Linked DNA regions of Coturnix japonica. The protein of the gene in region 1 binds, or shares a complex with, the protein of each later gene. Links are inferred from orthologs where the notes say so. Each region holds a gene or a part of one and is shown on either strand. Other genes may lie near its edges.

What was found.
Region 2: the proteins of PTPN11 (region 1) and GAB1 are in contact, whole or in part, in a crystal structure (PDB 4QSY), measured with the Homo sapiens proteins. The link is inferred for Coturnix japonica from reciprocal best matches to the Homo sapiens genes PTPN11 and GAB1. Residues at the interface, in NP_002825.3 of Homo sapiens: Gly13, Val14, Glu17, Arg32, Pro33, Ser34, Lys35, Ser36, Thr42, Arg47, Thr52, His53, Ile54, Lys55, Leu65, Gly67, Gly68, Tyr81, Gln87, Leu88, Lys89, Glu90, Lys91, Ile96; in NP_002030.2 of Homo sapiens: Lys623, Val625, Glu626, Tyr627, Leu628, Asp629, Leu630, Asp631, Leu632, Asp633.
Region 3: the proteins of PTPN11 (region 1) and PDGFRB are in contact, whole or in part, in a crystal structure (PDB 1AYA), measured with the Mus musculus proteins. The link is inferred for Coturnix japonica from reciprocal best matches to the Homo sapiens genes PTPN11 and PDGFRB. Residues at the interface, in NP_001103462.1 of Mus musculus: Gly13, Val14, Glu17, Arg32, Pro33, Ser34, Lys35, Ser36, Thr42, Thr52, His53, Ile54, Lys55, Leu65, Gly68, Gln87, Leu88, Lys89, Glu90, Lys91, Gly93, Ile96; in NP_032835.2 of Mus musculus: Ser1005, Val1006, Leu1007, Tyr1008, Thr1009, Ala1010, Val1011, Gln1012, Pro1013.

What each region holds. Positions count from the first base shown.
Region 1 is NC_029530.1:5,547,921-5,551,563, forward strand, and holds part of PTPN11 (tyrosine-protein phosphatase non-receptor type 11), read left to right. Parts: intron 1-523; coding exon 524-716; intron 717-1,578; coding exon 1,579-1,695; intron 1,696-2,160; coding exon 2,161-2,274; intron 2,275-3,643. UniProt on the Homo sapiens protein: Acts downstream of various receptor and cytoplasmic protein tyrosine kinases to participate in the signal transduction from the cell surface to the nucleus. Positively regulates MAPK signal transduction pathway. Dephosphorylates GAB1, ARHGAP35 and EGFR.
Region 2 is NC_029519.1:26,775,752-26,779,921, forward strand, and holds the start of GAB1 (GRB2-associated-binding protein 1), read left to right. Parts: upstream 1-1,256; 5' UTR 1,257-1,574; coding exon 1,575-1,646; intron 1,647-4,170. UniProt on the Homo sapiens protein: Adapter protein that plays a role in intracellular signaling cascades triggered by activated receptor-type kinases. Plays a role in FGFR1 signaling. Probably involved in signaling by the epidermal growth factor receptor (EGFR) and the insulin receptor (INSR).
Region 3 is NC_029528.1:4,804,993-4,808,635, reverse strand, and holds part of PDGFRB (platelet-derived growth factor receptor beta), read left to right. Parts: coding exon 1-16; intron 17-949; coding exon 950-1,072; intron 1,073-2,315; coding exon 2,316-2,427; intron 2,428-2,734; coding exon 2,735-2,834; intron 2,835-2,938; coding exon 2,939-3,044; intron 3,045-3,513; coding exon 3,514-3,643. UniProt on the Homo sapiens protein: Tyrosine-protein kinase that acts as a cell-surface receptor for homodimeric PDGFB and PDGFD and for heterodimers formed by PDGFA and PDGFB, and plays an essential role in the regulation of embryonic development, cell proliferation, survival, differentiation, chemotaxis and migration.

The DNA.
Region 1 (3,643 bases):
CAAGCTCTCTCGTGCCTCAGTGTGGCCTGTATTTAATGGCTGTGGGGAGAATTATTGCCTTTATGTGATTTATCCTGCTCAGTTCCTAATGTGATGGGAGAGTGTGGTCTCAAAGGTGTTAAGTTCCTAGAGCGTTACTGGGAAAGTGTACCCTCATAAAGGTAACAGACCAAGAGTAAATGCCACTGCTGAGGAGAAAGTTGCTGTAAGAACTTGTATTTATTGGACATCAGGGAATTCATCTGTACTGCTGTACAGGATCCAAGTGAAAGCTTTGTTTGAAGCTTGCATAAGATGCAAATTTCAGGGCTTGTGGAAATGCCTGCTTTGAAGTGTTTCTGCAATTGCTCGTGTTTATATACACGTACACTTCCAAGAATTTATAATAAACTATGAACCTTTCTGTAGACCAGGACTCATTCAGTGTATAATATAGTGTTTTACTTTGTAATAACTTTTTACACCAAGTGGATTCAACCATGGCTGGAATGACTATTAGGGTGCTGTCTATTTTTATTTAAAGGTGGTTTCATGGGCATCTCTCTGGAAGAGAAGCTGAAAAACTATTAACAGAAAAAGGAAAACATGGAAGCTTTCTCGTGCGTGAGAGTCAAAGCCACCCTGGGGACTTTGTTCTTTCTGTCCGGACAGGAGATGATAAAGGAGAGAGTAATGATGGGAAATCTAAAGTGACACATGTCATGATTCACTGCCAGGTATGATGAAGCAGGAGCTAACAGTATTGCTTCTAAGGGGAGAGGGCTTATTCTTACAAGAGGGCCTTTCTGCACTGCACTAGAAACATGAATGTATTTCCACTTTTCCCTGTGGTACCAAATGTGTGATATACATCATCTGGTTGATCAAATGGACTAATTGGATGGCTTCAAAATTATTAGTGTTGTTTCTTGATTGCTTGCCAGACTGAATTGTGTCCTCCTATGCTGTGCTGTCAAGTGCCTTTTAATAGACTTGCTTTTGATTGCATCAGAAGTCTGTCTTAAAGCCTTTTGCTGATGGAGCTTTTAATGTTCATGAACCTTCTTAAGCGTGTTGCTGTCTCCTGTATGGATGATATAAAGACAGGACTAATTGGACAGACAGAGATCTATCCACATGTCTGTTGCTCCTGTCATTTCATAAAGTCTCATCTGAGAGCGATCAACATAGTGTAAACAAGCCTGAGTATTTGATCTAAAGAACACTTGAAATATAGAGTGGTCCATCATTTACATCTTTATATATTTAAGTTATAGTCTTCAGATATTTTTGTGCGTAACAATAGCTTGCTGTTCAATACTCAAATCTGCAACTTTTGTTTTAATTATGTAAAACTGTGATTGCTACAGTTGTACAAAAACTAAAATGCAGAAACAGTTTAGAGACAGAAAAGAGGATGTTGTCCTCCGTAATGTGTTTCTTGTTGTCTGCCATCTACCAGCAGAAGAGTTTTACTGGATTTTTTTTCTATGTGTAGTTTGAAAGAGAATTTCTCTTATGTTGTATAGCCTAAATATTGTATCAGTGCAGACTTGATTTGATGAAGTTTATTTTGCTGACTGACAATCTGTTCTTAAGGATCTAAAATATGATGTTGGTGGAGGGGAGAAGTTTGACTCTCTGACAGATCTAGTGGAGCATTATAAGAAGAACCCTATGGTAGAAACCTTGGGCACAGTATTGCAACTTAAGCAGGTGAGTGAATGGAGAAAACACCACTGGATTTTATTAATTTCAATGCATATTGTTGGGGAAGAGTGGGCTTGTCCTTGTGTTCTGAGTGACAACGTAACTTTCCTTTTGAAATATGACAGTGAAGAAGGAAACTTCATGAAAAACTGGTAAAGTCATGCAAGCCTAAATTGGAATAATTTATTGCTGCTGGTGAAGAACAGACTTTGTAATTGCGTGGAACTTCTTGTAAGTTCATTATGATCTATAGGGATTGCAAGACTAGCTCACAAATGAGACAAGTTATTAAGAACAACTGTGAAACTTTATCCAAAAGCATTTGTTCCGTACTTCCTTCCTCTCTTCCCTCACTGCCACTAGATGTATAAACAGTGAAGTCCTGGATCTTAGAATTGCCTACATTAGTGTCAGGAATTTGTGTTTTTTTAACTGTCTTTTCAGTTGTCACCGTTTTATTTTCTTTCCTAGCCCCTAAATACCACCCGTATTAACGCTGCAGAGATTGAAAGCAGAGTACGAGAGCTAAGCAAGCTAGCAGAGACTACAGATAAAGTCAAGCAGGGCTTCTGGGAAGAATTTGAGGTACTTCATTGTATTTCCCGTGTTATGGTATGGTATTGAATCTCTATGGTACTCAAAGAGGTTTGTTACTACCTTCCTCACAACAGCTTGGCTCTACTTCCATTACTTGAGATCCCAGCTTTTGCTTCCTTCTCCCGTGTCACGCACATAATGTGTTAAAACCTACCAGTTCCATTCCTGTGTTTGTTAATAAAATGATTCAAACATTTGCACTTTTTCCTAACTGAGGGGTAATTACTTTCCTTTAATTAAATTCTTTCCTTTATTTTTGTCTCTATGACTGCTGCATCCTCACAGTTTTCTTACAATTGGATTGACTTAAAAACTGCATGCACATATGATGATCATAGCCAAAATGGCTATGGCTTTGGTTGTGACTTCGTTATAATGGAGAGACTTGTATCACTCACTTCATAGTGAATTGTAGAACTCTACCAGCAGATGGCAACAGGAAACTGGGAAGTCTTATGATCCAAGATCTTTGATAAGGGGTCTGATTTTGGCTGTGCTATTTTGAGAATCTTGATAAGTGATGGATTTGCAAAGTGCCATTCTTGAAGAAACTCATTTATGGTCAGACATGCTTATTAGCTCTGCAGTCTGCACTGAGACTTCTAGTGGGAGTTGAAAAATAAAACCATTGAGTTTTACAAAGACATAACAAATTTCTGTATGAATTTGATGGAATGTAGGATAGTGAGATTGCAGCTGGTAGGGGTGGTAATTATAAACAGTGTATTGAATTTCCTCCTCTTTCTCATGTTATTATCTGGCCTTGAGCAAGAACTGCAGAGCTGTTCTTAGCCTGAACACTGCAGTTTTAATGCCATGTTTTCTCATTCATCTCAGGTAAGCCATGGTTGCCAGTCATGGTGGGAGGAGGCAGGGGGCAATCTCCAGGCTGTCTGTGGAGCTCTTCATGCCCTGTTGTGCTTTGGCAGTCCAGATGGTAGCTGTAAATTACTTGTCTTTAGGCAGATTGAAGAATGTGCCTCTTGTCCTGTTAAGTGTCAGACAGAAATGTTGACAGTCTTTGTAACACTTCTGGAAAGTGACTGGGGAGCTTTGTGTTTGAATGGCACAGAGAAAGTGAGGACTCCTGTACCAGATTTATTGTTGCATTGTGTACCTCTTGTAGCCAGCTTGCTAGAAGTCTTTGCTGCTCGTGGATCTTTCCTCAGGGATGCTCAAAGCAGTAACCATTAAATGTGTGAAGTAAAGGTGTTTGAAGCTTGTTTCAACACAATTATTTCCATGTTTTAACCTGCTAGCAAAGTTCAGCTTTTGGTTCTTTGCTTGGCGTTTCACTTTGCAGAGACTCAAAAGTGTTAATATTATATAAAGGCACTCTGTAATAATGGCAGTTAAA
Region 2 (4,170 bases), on another chromosome or scaffold:
TCACAGCGCTTCTTCTGTGCAATCTTCTGCCAATCCAACACAACGCACGTTGAACCAGCGAGCAGCAGCGCTTCCTGCAGCGAAGGCACACTAGGGGGACTAGCTCTCTGCGGTGGAACAACGCTGCTGCTCGCAGGCAGCGGGACCTTTCCCAAAGGGAAATCATACGGGAAAACAAACCGAAACAAACCAGCAGACCCGTATTTTTGTTTGTAGAAACTTATTTCTTTAGTTATTTTTGGCGGAGAGCATTATTAGCAAGGACTCGAATGAGTTTAGTCTTTTAAATGAACGGCATTGGGGATTGCCTTAACGCATCAGCCTTTTTACTTCCCCCGCTGCCCAAGGGGAGCCCAGTGCCCACAGCCGCACACACAGGTCGCAGAGCCGACATCGGCAGCAGCGTCTGGCGCTCACAGCCCAACTTCTACTTTTCTTTCTTTCTTCTCTTTTTTTTTTTCCGCCGAGGCAACTCCAGACTTGCAGAGAGGAGCTTACTTTGGCCGAGGTGTTTCTAATGCAGTTTTTTATAGCTTTCTCCTATTTTTCCCATCTCTAATGAGCCGTGTTGCGGGGCGTTTCGCAGCGCTGACAGCCGCTCCGGCCGCAGCTTTGTTATTCAGATGGCCGCTCGCTCACACAGCCGTCCTTCGCTGCCGGGAGCCGACGCGCTCCCCCACAGCCCAAACCATACCCAGAAGCGACTCGGATGGGCCGGGAAAGCCGAGCTGCGCTTCTTCCCCGTCTTTTTCCCCCCGTCCCGCCCCGCGCCGCCGCATTCCCCGCGGCCGCTCCCTCCCAGCGGCGCATCCGACTACAGCTCCCAGCAGCCTCTGGAAGCGCGTGTCCGCCCCGCCCGGCCCCCGTTGTGCGAGAGGCTCCGGCCGAGTTTCGGGGTGGCCGCCGCTCGGGACGCCCGCGGGGCCGGCGCTGGGCGCGGGCGGAGCGGGAAGGTGCTGGCACCGCTGGGGAGCGGGGGCCGCGAGGACCGGGACCGATCCCTCCGGGAGGAAGGAGACCCGACCCGCGGCGGAATAGGGGGGAGAGGCGGACGCTCCCGCCCCGCCGAAGGAGGCAGCGACGACGCGGTTCCCCCCCTCCTCCTTCTCCCGGCGCAGGGGGAGGAGGAAGGCAGCGTCCCGCCAGGCAGCGGGGCGAGGGGCGGGAGGGTCCCGCGGCGTGGGGCGGTGCCAGCGAGGCGGGGCGGCGGGCGGAGGCTGCCCCGGGACGCCGGAGCTCGAGTTGCGGCGGAGGGGCGGCGGCCGCCCGTGTCGGCTCTCCCGATGTGTGTGTGAGACGGCGGCTGCGGGAGGAGGAGGAGGAGGAAGGGGGAGCCTCCCGCCCCGGCCCCGCTCGCTCTCCGCTCCGGCCGCTCGTTGTGCGCGAGAGACAGACACACACAGCCCGCGCCCATCCCTCCTCCCTCCCGCCCCTTCCCTCGCCCCGCAGCCCCAGGAGGCCGGAGCGGGCGCGGTGCTGCCACCGCGTCTCGGAGCTCCCTCGGCCCGGCCCGGCCACCGCCGCCGGAGGAGGAGGAGGAGGAGAAGGAGGAGGACGAGGCGGGCGGCCCAGCCATGAGCGGCGGGGAGGTGGTCTGCTCGGGCTGGCTCCGAAAGTCACCGCCGGAGAAGAAGTTGAAGCGCTACGTGAGTGCCCCCTTCCCCTCGCGGCTCTCCCGTTCCCCCGGCCCGGCCTCCGTGTCGCGGTGCCTCCCGCCGGGCCCGGACGGTGCGCCCTCCGCCCGCCGGCGTCCCGCCGCTTTCCCGGCCCTGCTTTCCTTTTTTCTTCTTTCTTCTTTATTTATCTTTTCTTTTTTTCCTCGGGTGTTTCTGCCTCGCTTCGGTCGCTTTTCCGAGAGAGTCGGGAGCGGGAGGGGGGCGGAGTTTTTCCCCTCTTCCCTGTGGATCCGAGCTCCGTGTAGATGGATTTTAAACGTAAACACTCGCCGGCCGCCGCCGGTGCTGCTGGGGGGCCGGGGCGGCGCGGGGGGCGGCGGAAGGTCGCCCTCGGCCGGGGAGTGCCGCCGCCGGGATGCCCTGCACGGAGCCCTCCCCGCCGCCGGGAGCCTTTGCCCTTGGGACCGGAGCTCTATAGATCGGGAAGGGAGGGGGGGGGGGAGCGAAGGGGGAGGAGGCTGCACGAAGTGTGTGTGCCTTTTTCTTTTCCTATCTGCCCGTTGTCGCTCAGAAGTAAATGTTTTAGCGGGGCGGCTTCGGAGGAGCTGACATTTAGTTCGCTGGAAAATGGAGCGTGTCTGCTGAGAGGGCACATTCGGTGACAGGGCAGCGGCGAGGCCGGGGCACGGGGTGCTGCCGGGCCGCTGGCGGGTCACGTAGGAGGTGCGGGTGATGCCAGGAACCTCCGCGCCTGCCCCTTTCCCATTGGCACCGGCACAGCTCCACGGGATCTGTGTCATTGGAACGAAATGCTGGGGCTTTCTCTCTCTCTCCCTCTCTTTTTTTTAGTTATTTTTATTTTCCTCAGTCCTGTTGGATGGGATTGAAATAGAAGCGGCCTTTGCAACTGTCAGTATTTTCACACAGCTAAGCCTTGATTTGAGGATTCGTAGTGTGGAACTGAGCGTAACCACGCTGTTTTTCATCTGTTAGTGATTAACGATCGCTTCTTGAAAAAAGAGCTGTTGCTTTTGTGTAGAGGTTTGTGTTTTTTGTTTGTTTTTTTTACATTCCAGGGAATTGGTGAAATGGGACTCTGCAAGAACAGAGGAATAATCCATTCACCAGTTCCCAATGGCAGAAATCCTGTTCATGCAGAGGACGCGGGATCAGATCTGCAGACCGTGACCTGATGGGACATGGGAGGGTTGAGCTTCCCTGGTGGGTTGGACATGGGCTGCATTTTTGCCTGCTGCTCTGTGTGTGTACTCATACTCATAGGATGCCACTGTACCACTGTGTAGTGGTTGGGAAAACTTCATTTTGCTCAAGTTTGAGTTAATTTGAGCCCCAAATCATGTACAGTCTCATTAATTATGGAAGAAAGTGTAAGAAAGAATTTGCTGTCAAAAAATGACAACACAAGTGAGTTCCTAAAGACGTTAGCTTCTTTTCCATCTAACTGTCCTTCTGGTGTTTTTCTGCTTCCATATTAGAATAACATCAGAACCTTTGAGGGAAAGAACTGAGTACTCTTTGTCAAGTAGCAACCTGTCCTAAAGAAATAATTTGTTTTCACCTGAAAAAGGGATGTGCTTTTTGAGGATGCACTGTATGAGTTGAGTGAGCATATGCCAGGCTCACATCAGCAGGGCTTGATTTAGCATCTGGATGCACTGCAGGCCGTAAGGTCATAAGTTGCACATCGTGGCCAGCTGATTTCTGCTTGTACTCTCCTGTATGAGGGAAAGCAGGATTTGAAGTGAAATTCCTCTTGCTTGTCTGTGGTGCCTGATCAGCTGTGGGGCTAAAGGTTCACGTTCACTTTAAAGGCATAAAAGTAACAGCCATCTTTAAGCAAAGTAAAGGTCGACAAACGTGAGTGAATTTTAAGTGAGCGTGCTGATTGAGGCTTTGGCTCCTGCTCTCTGTAATTCTATGCTTGTGCTGGGACTCAGAAAAGCTGCATTTTTCAAAGCCATATTTTATCCTGGTGATGGTTCAAGAGGCTGTACCAGAAGAAAAGATGGGAAAGTGATTTCAATAGGAAACCGTTTCTCTGCAACGCATACTTTTCACATGTATATATGGAAAATTGTAACTTCACGCCCTATTAGTTTTAGCATGCAAGTGTTGGGGCAAATCCAGGTTACCATCTGTGAAGGAAGATAAAAAGTCTGAAATTTCAGTTAAATATGGCTCCAGTTCTTAGGAAGGGTGAAAGGAGCACTTTGAAGCTAGTGCACAGACATATGTTTTGCAGGGACTGCAATTTTTAGTTTGAAATAGTTGGATGCAGTATTAAAGCTTACAATCATTTGGAGGCTAAAAAAAGAAAGGAAACTATCCTGCAGGTGGAAAAATCAGATTTGCTCGGATGCGTGACTTAATGCCATGCATATCTTTCCCCCTCTTAAAAGGAGTCCTATTTTAATGTCCCATTCGTGAGTTCTGCGTACAGAAGTAACTTTCCAGTATCCATTGGCACCTGTTGTTGGTTCCCTGGAGCTGGTGTGCACAACAGTTCATGTGCTGGAACAGGCTGCTGCTTTTC
Region 3 (3,643 bases), on another chromosome or scaffold:
CCTGGCTTCCAAAAATGTATGTATGCAGGCTGGCCCGTGGAGGCAAGGAATGGTGTGCTGTGCCTGTGGTCACCTTCATCTCATTGTCCCTCTGTCCACACTGACCTCCTTGAGGGACAAGTGGCCATGCAGTGGAAGGGCTGCCAACCACTTTCCTTTGGAGATATAGCCCTGAGGATCAGTGTGATTGTACTTGCATGCCAGCTACCAACAGACCAAGTTTCACACCTCAGATTCCATGACTCTGAGCTCCTCCCAAGCCCTGTGCAGCACAGCTGTGGTGTTACGTCACCCTCCTTTACTGGGATGACCGGCTGCAAACAGATAGCCTTGCTGTGCTAAACAAAGGGCAGTCCAGAGCAAAGCTGCAACTCTCGTTGGACATTCACATTGCCCCACATGCTATAAGCTCCCAAAGCCTCTTAAGAAGTGCTTGTTCAGTGGTAATTAAGCCAATGGAGTGGACCAGGCTGTGGGGGATTCCTAAGATCTGGCTTAGCCTAGGATAGTCAGTAACATAGTCTCTCAATGAAACATCATGCAGGGCAGGGATGAGAGACAGGGTGGGGATTGTATGAATGACATGCAGAGAAAAATTCTGGCTCTTTGCCTCCAGCCAGCCAGTGTGATCTCCAAGAGTTACAGTCAGTGCTATCCCATGGAGCATAGAAGGGGAGCTCCAAATTTACACAATCTTACTTTGCAATAGGGTAACATTACTGTTCTAACTGTTAGTGTCTGGCAAACATAAGGCCCTTTCCAGTGTGTCTGTTTCAGTAAGCAACAAAAATAAGGTAGTCCTTCTAGTGGCTTTGAGCTATATAGGTCTATAAAGGTGAAGGAGATGACTCCTGTCCCTGCAGCAAAAGAAATGGGCTAGTGCTGAAGCTGGGCTTCTTCTCTGTGCCATTTGGGGCTGCTCCCAATGACAGTGCCCTGCCTCCTGCAGTGTGTGCATCGTGACCTGGCTGCCAGGAACGTCCTCATCTGTGAGGGGAAGCTGGTGAAGATCTGTGACTTTGGTCTGGCAAGAGATATCATGAGGGATTCCAACTACATCTCCAAAGGCAGCGTGAGTACCCGGAGCCACATCATCCCCTTCTCTGTAGGGCTCTGGGCCTGGCACCGTGCTCCCCTGCAAGCCCCCTGTCTGTTGCTGTGCCCAGAGGTGGTGACACAGCAGCATTCCCAGCTGATGGTGTCAACCATCACCAGCCAACCATCGTGCACTTGATGTCTGCATGGTGCTGAGCCTGGTCCTCAGCTGCAGGCAGGAGGAATGCAAAGTTAGGCAGCTTGGCAGCGGTGCAGTGAGTCACTGGCCACTCTGGGAAGATGTCCGCAGCCTTCTGCTGTAACCAGCAGACCACAGGGTAAGAGGAAGTGCTTTCCTGCAGGCAGCTACTTTCCAGAAAGGCATCTCCAGTCTTTTGAGGCAAGAGAGGATGGGGCTGTTATTGAGCTTACCTGTGCTTTCAACAGGAGTGTGTCTGCTCCAGCACTGAGGAGCTGGGGATGCACAAGCCTAAGCAGAGCAGGATGTGTAACTGGCTTCATTTGGCAGATAGGAAAACTGAGTCTGAGGGAGCTGAGAGTGGTGCCAGGCCCCTCAAAACTGTCTTTATCTACTCGATGAACTACTCAGCTTCCCCCCTGATTTGTCCCATTTGCATGGCATGGCAGCCAGATGTTGAGCATATTGGCCAGGGGACCTCTCTGCAGAGAGACTGTGATTTTCCAGTCCAGCCTTGATATGGCTTCTTTTCCTTATGAAACAAGAAATGAAACTGGGCCTCTTTGCAGTTCTTCCTGGAGATTATTTTGGTATTTGTTATGCAAGCGGATCTCTGGAACAGCACAGTCAGTGCTGCACACACTGATTGAGTGAGGCTCATTTTAGTGTATCGCCATGTGAGTAGGAACAGGAAAAGCTGAAGCTTCTGCTCTTTCCTGGTTGTCCCGTAGCCCACTCCAGCTTAGCCTTAGGTTTCCAGAGCGCAGATAGTTCTGGACTCCCTCTGGGAGTTCTGTGGTCATGCTGTGCAATCAGTGAACTCATCCCAAGGGCTGGGGAACAGAGATGCACACTGTGACAGCTCATTATAGCAGACAGGCTGTTCTGTATGATAGAAATGGATGTAGCACACCCGTTCTTCCCTCCTGCTTGCTGGGTTTGTCCTGCAGTAAGAAAGAGAAAATGGATCCCTCCAAGAAGTGTTGGTCAGCAGATATTTGGGGCTGTCAGGCAGCTCCAAGAGCTCCTCTCTGCTTGCAGATGCAGCTAACTCTCTTCTCATTGCAATTTTTCCTCACAGACCTTCTTGCCCCTTAAGTGGATGGCCCCAGAGAGCATTTTCAACAACCTCTACACCACCCTAAGTGATGTGTGGTCCTTTGGGATTCTTCTCTGGGAAATATTCACTCTAGGTAAGTGTCCTGGAGATCACGGTTGTGTCCACAGAAATGGTGGCACTTTAGCAGGATCCTTTCCTAAATGCAGAGGGTAGAAATCCATCCTAATCCCCAAGTCCCAACTCTACCAGCATCAGAGTAGCACTTCACTCAGTGTCTCCTTTTTTCCCATGCTGACGTGGCCACTTGGAAGCCAAATGAAACAGGAAAGGTAAATTGAAAAACAAAAAGCAAGCAGAGGAAACCTTGGTGTGAAAAGCATGTTGGTGTGGGGGTGGCAGGCTCTACATCAGCCTGATTCCCTGCTCTCCCTTTACTCCAGGAGGGACTCCCTACCCTGAACTGCCTATGAATGAACAGTTCTACAATGCCATCAAACGTGGCTATCGGATGTCCAAACCTACCCATGCTTCTGATGAAATGTAAGTGCTGCCTGCACGTGTTAACCCTGGGCCTGCTCTGCAGAAAGGACAGGAGCAGTTTTCCCTGATAAGTCACCAACGTGCCCTTTCTTCCATTTTGTTAGCTACGAAATCATGCAGAAGTGCTGGGAGGAGAAGTTTGAGATCAGACCGTCCTTCTCACAGCTGGTGGTGCTGATGGGAAACCTCTTGGTGGATTGCTACAGAAAGGTATGTGCAAAGGGTCAGTGCTCTTTGAAGGGATGCCACCTTGGTTTTACGGCATTGGATGAAGTTTTGGAGGCCCTGATTAATCATCATTAGCTGCTGAGCTGGAGCATTTTGCTGTGATTTGAGCTACATTCATTTAAACGGCCAGAGGAGGTGATTTGGGAATGCTGGGGATGTTGTGAGACAGCTGTCCTCATCAGGCAGCTGGTTTGTCAGCAATGGCAGAGATCAGAACTGGCTGAAGATCAGACGCCTGTTGCTGACTGATGCTTTGGAACCATGGAATTGTGCTGCTGATCACTCATATAGGAAACATTCACGATGTGTCTGTGGTGGAGTCAGGGTAGCTGAATGCAGCTAGATGTCAGCCCCTGGGGAAGGAAGCTTGGCAGTCAGGGAAAGCAAACACATCTGTGTGTTTTCTCCGCTCACAAGACCTTCCTGTTTTTCTGGTAACCTGCGAGAGCAGAGGTACCAGCAGGTGGATGAAGAGTTCATGAAGAGCGACCACCCTGCTGTTGTTCGCACAAGACCCACCATCCCCGGGTTGAACAACGCCAGGCTCCCTCCCAGCTCCCCCACCCTGTACACGGCCGTGC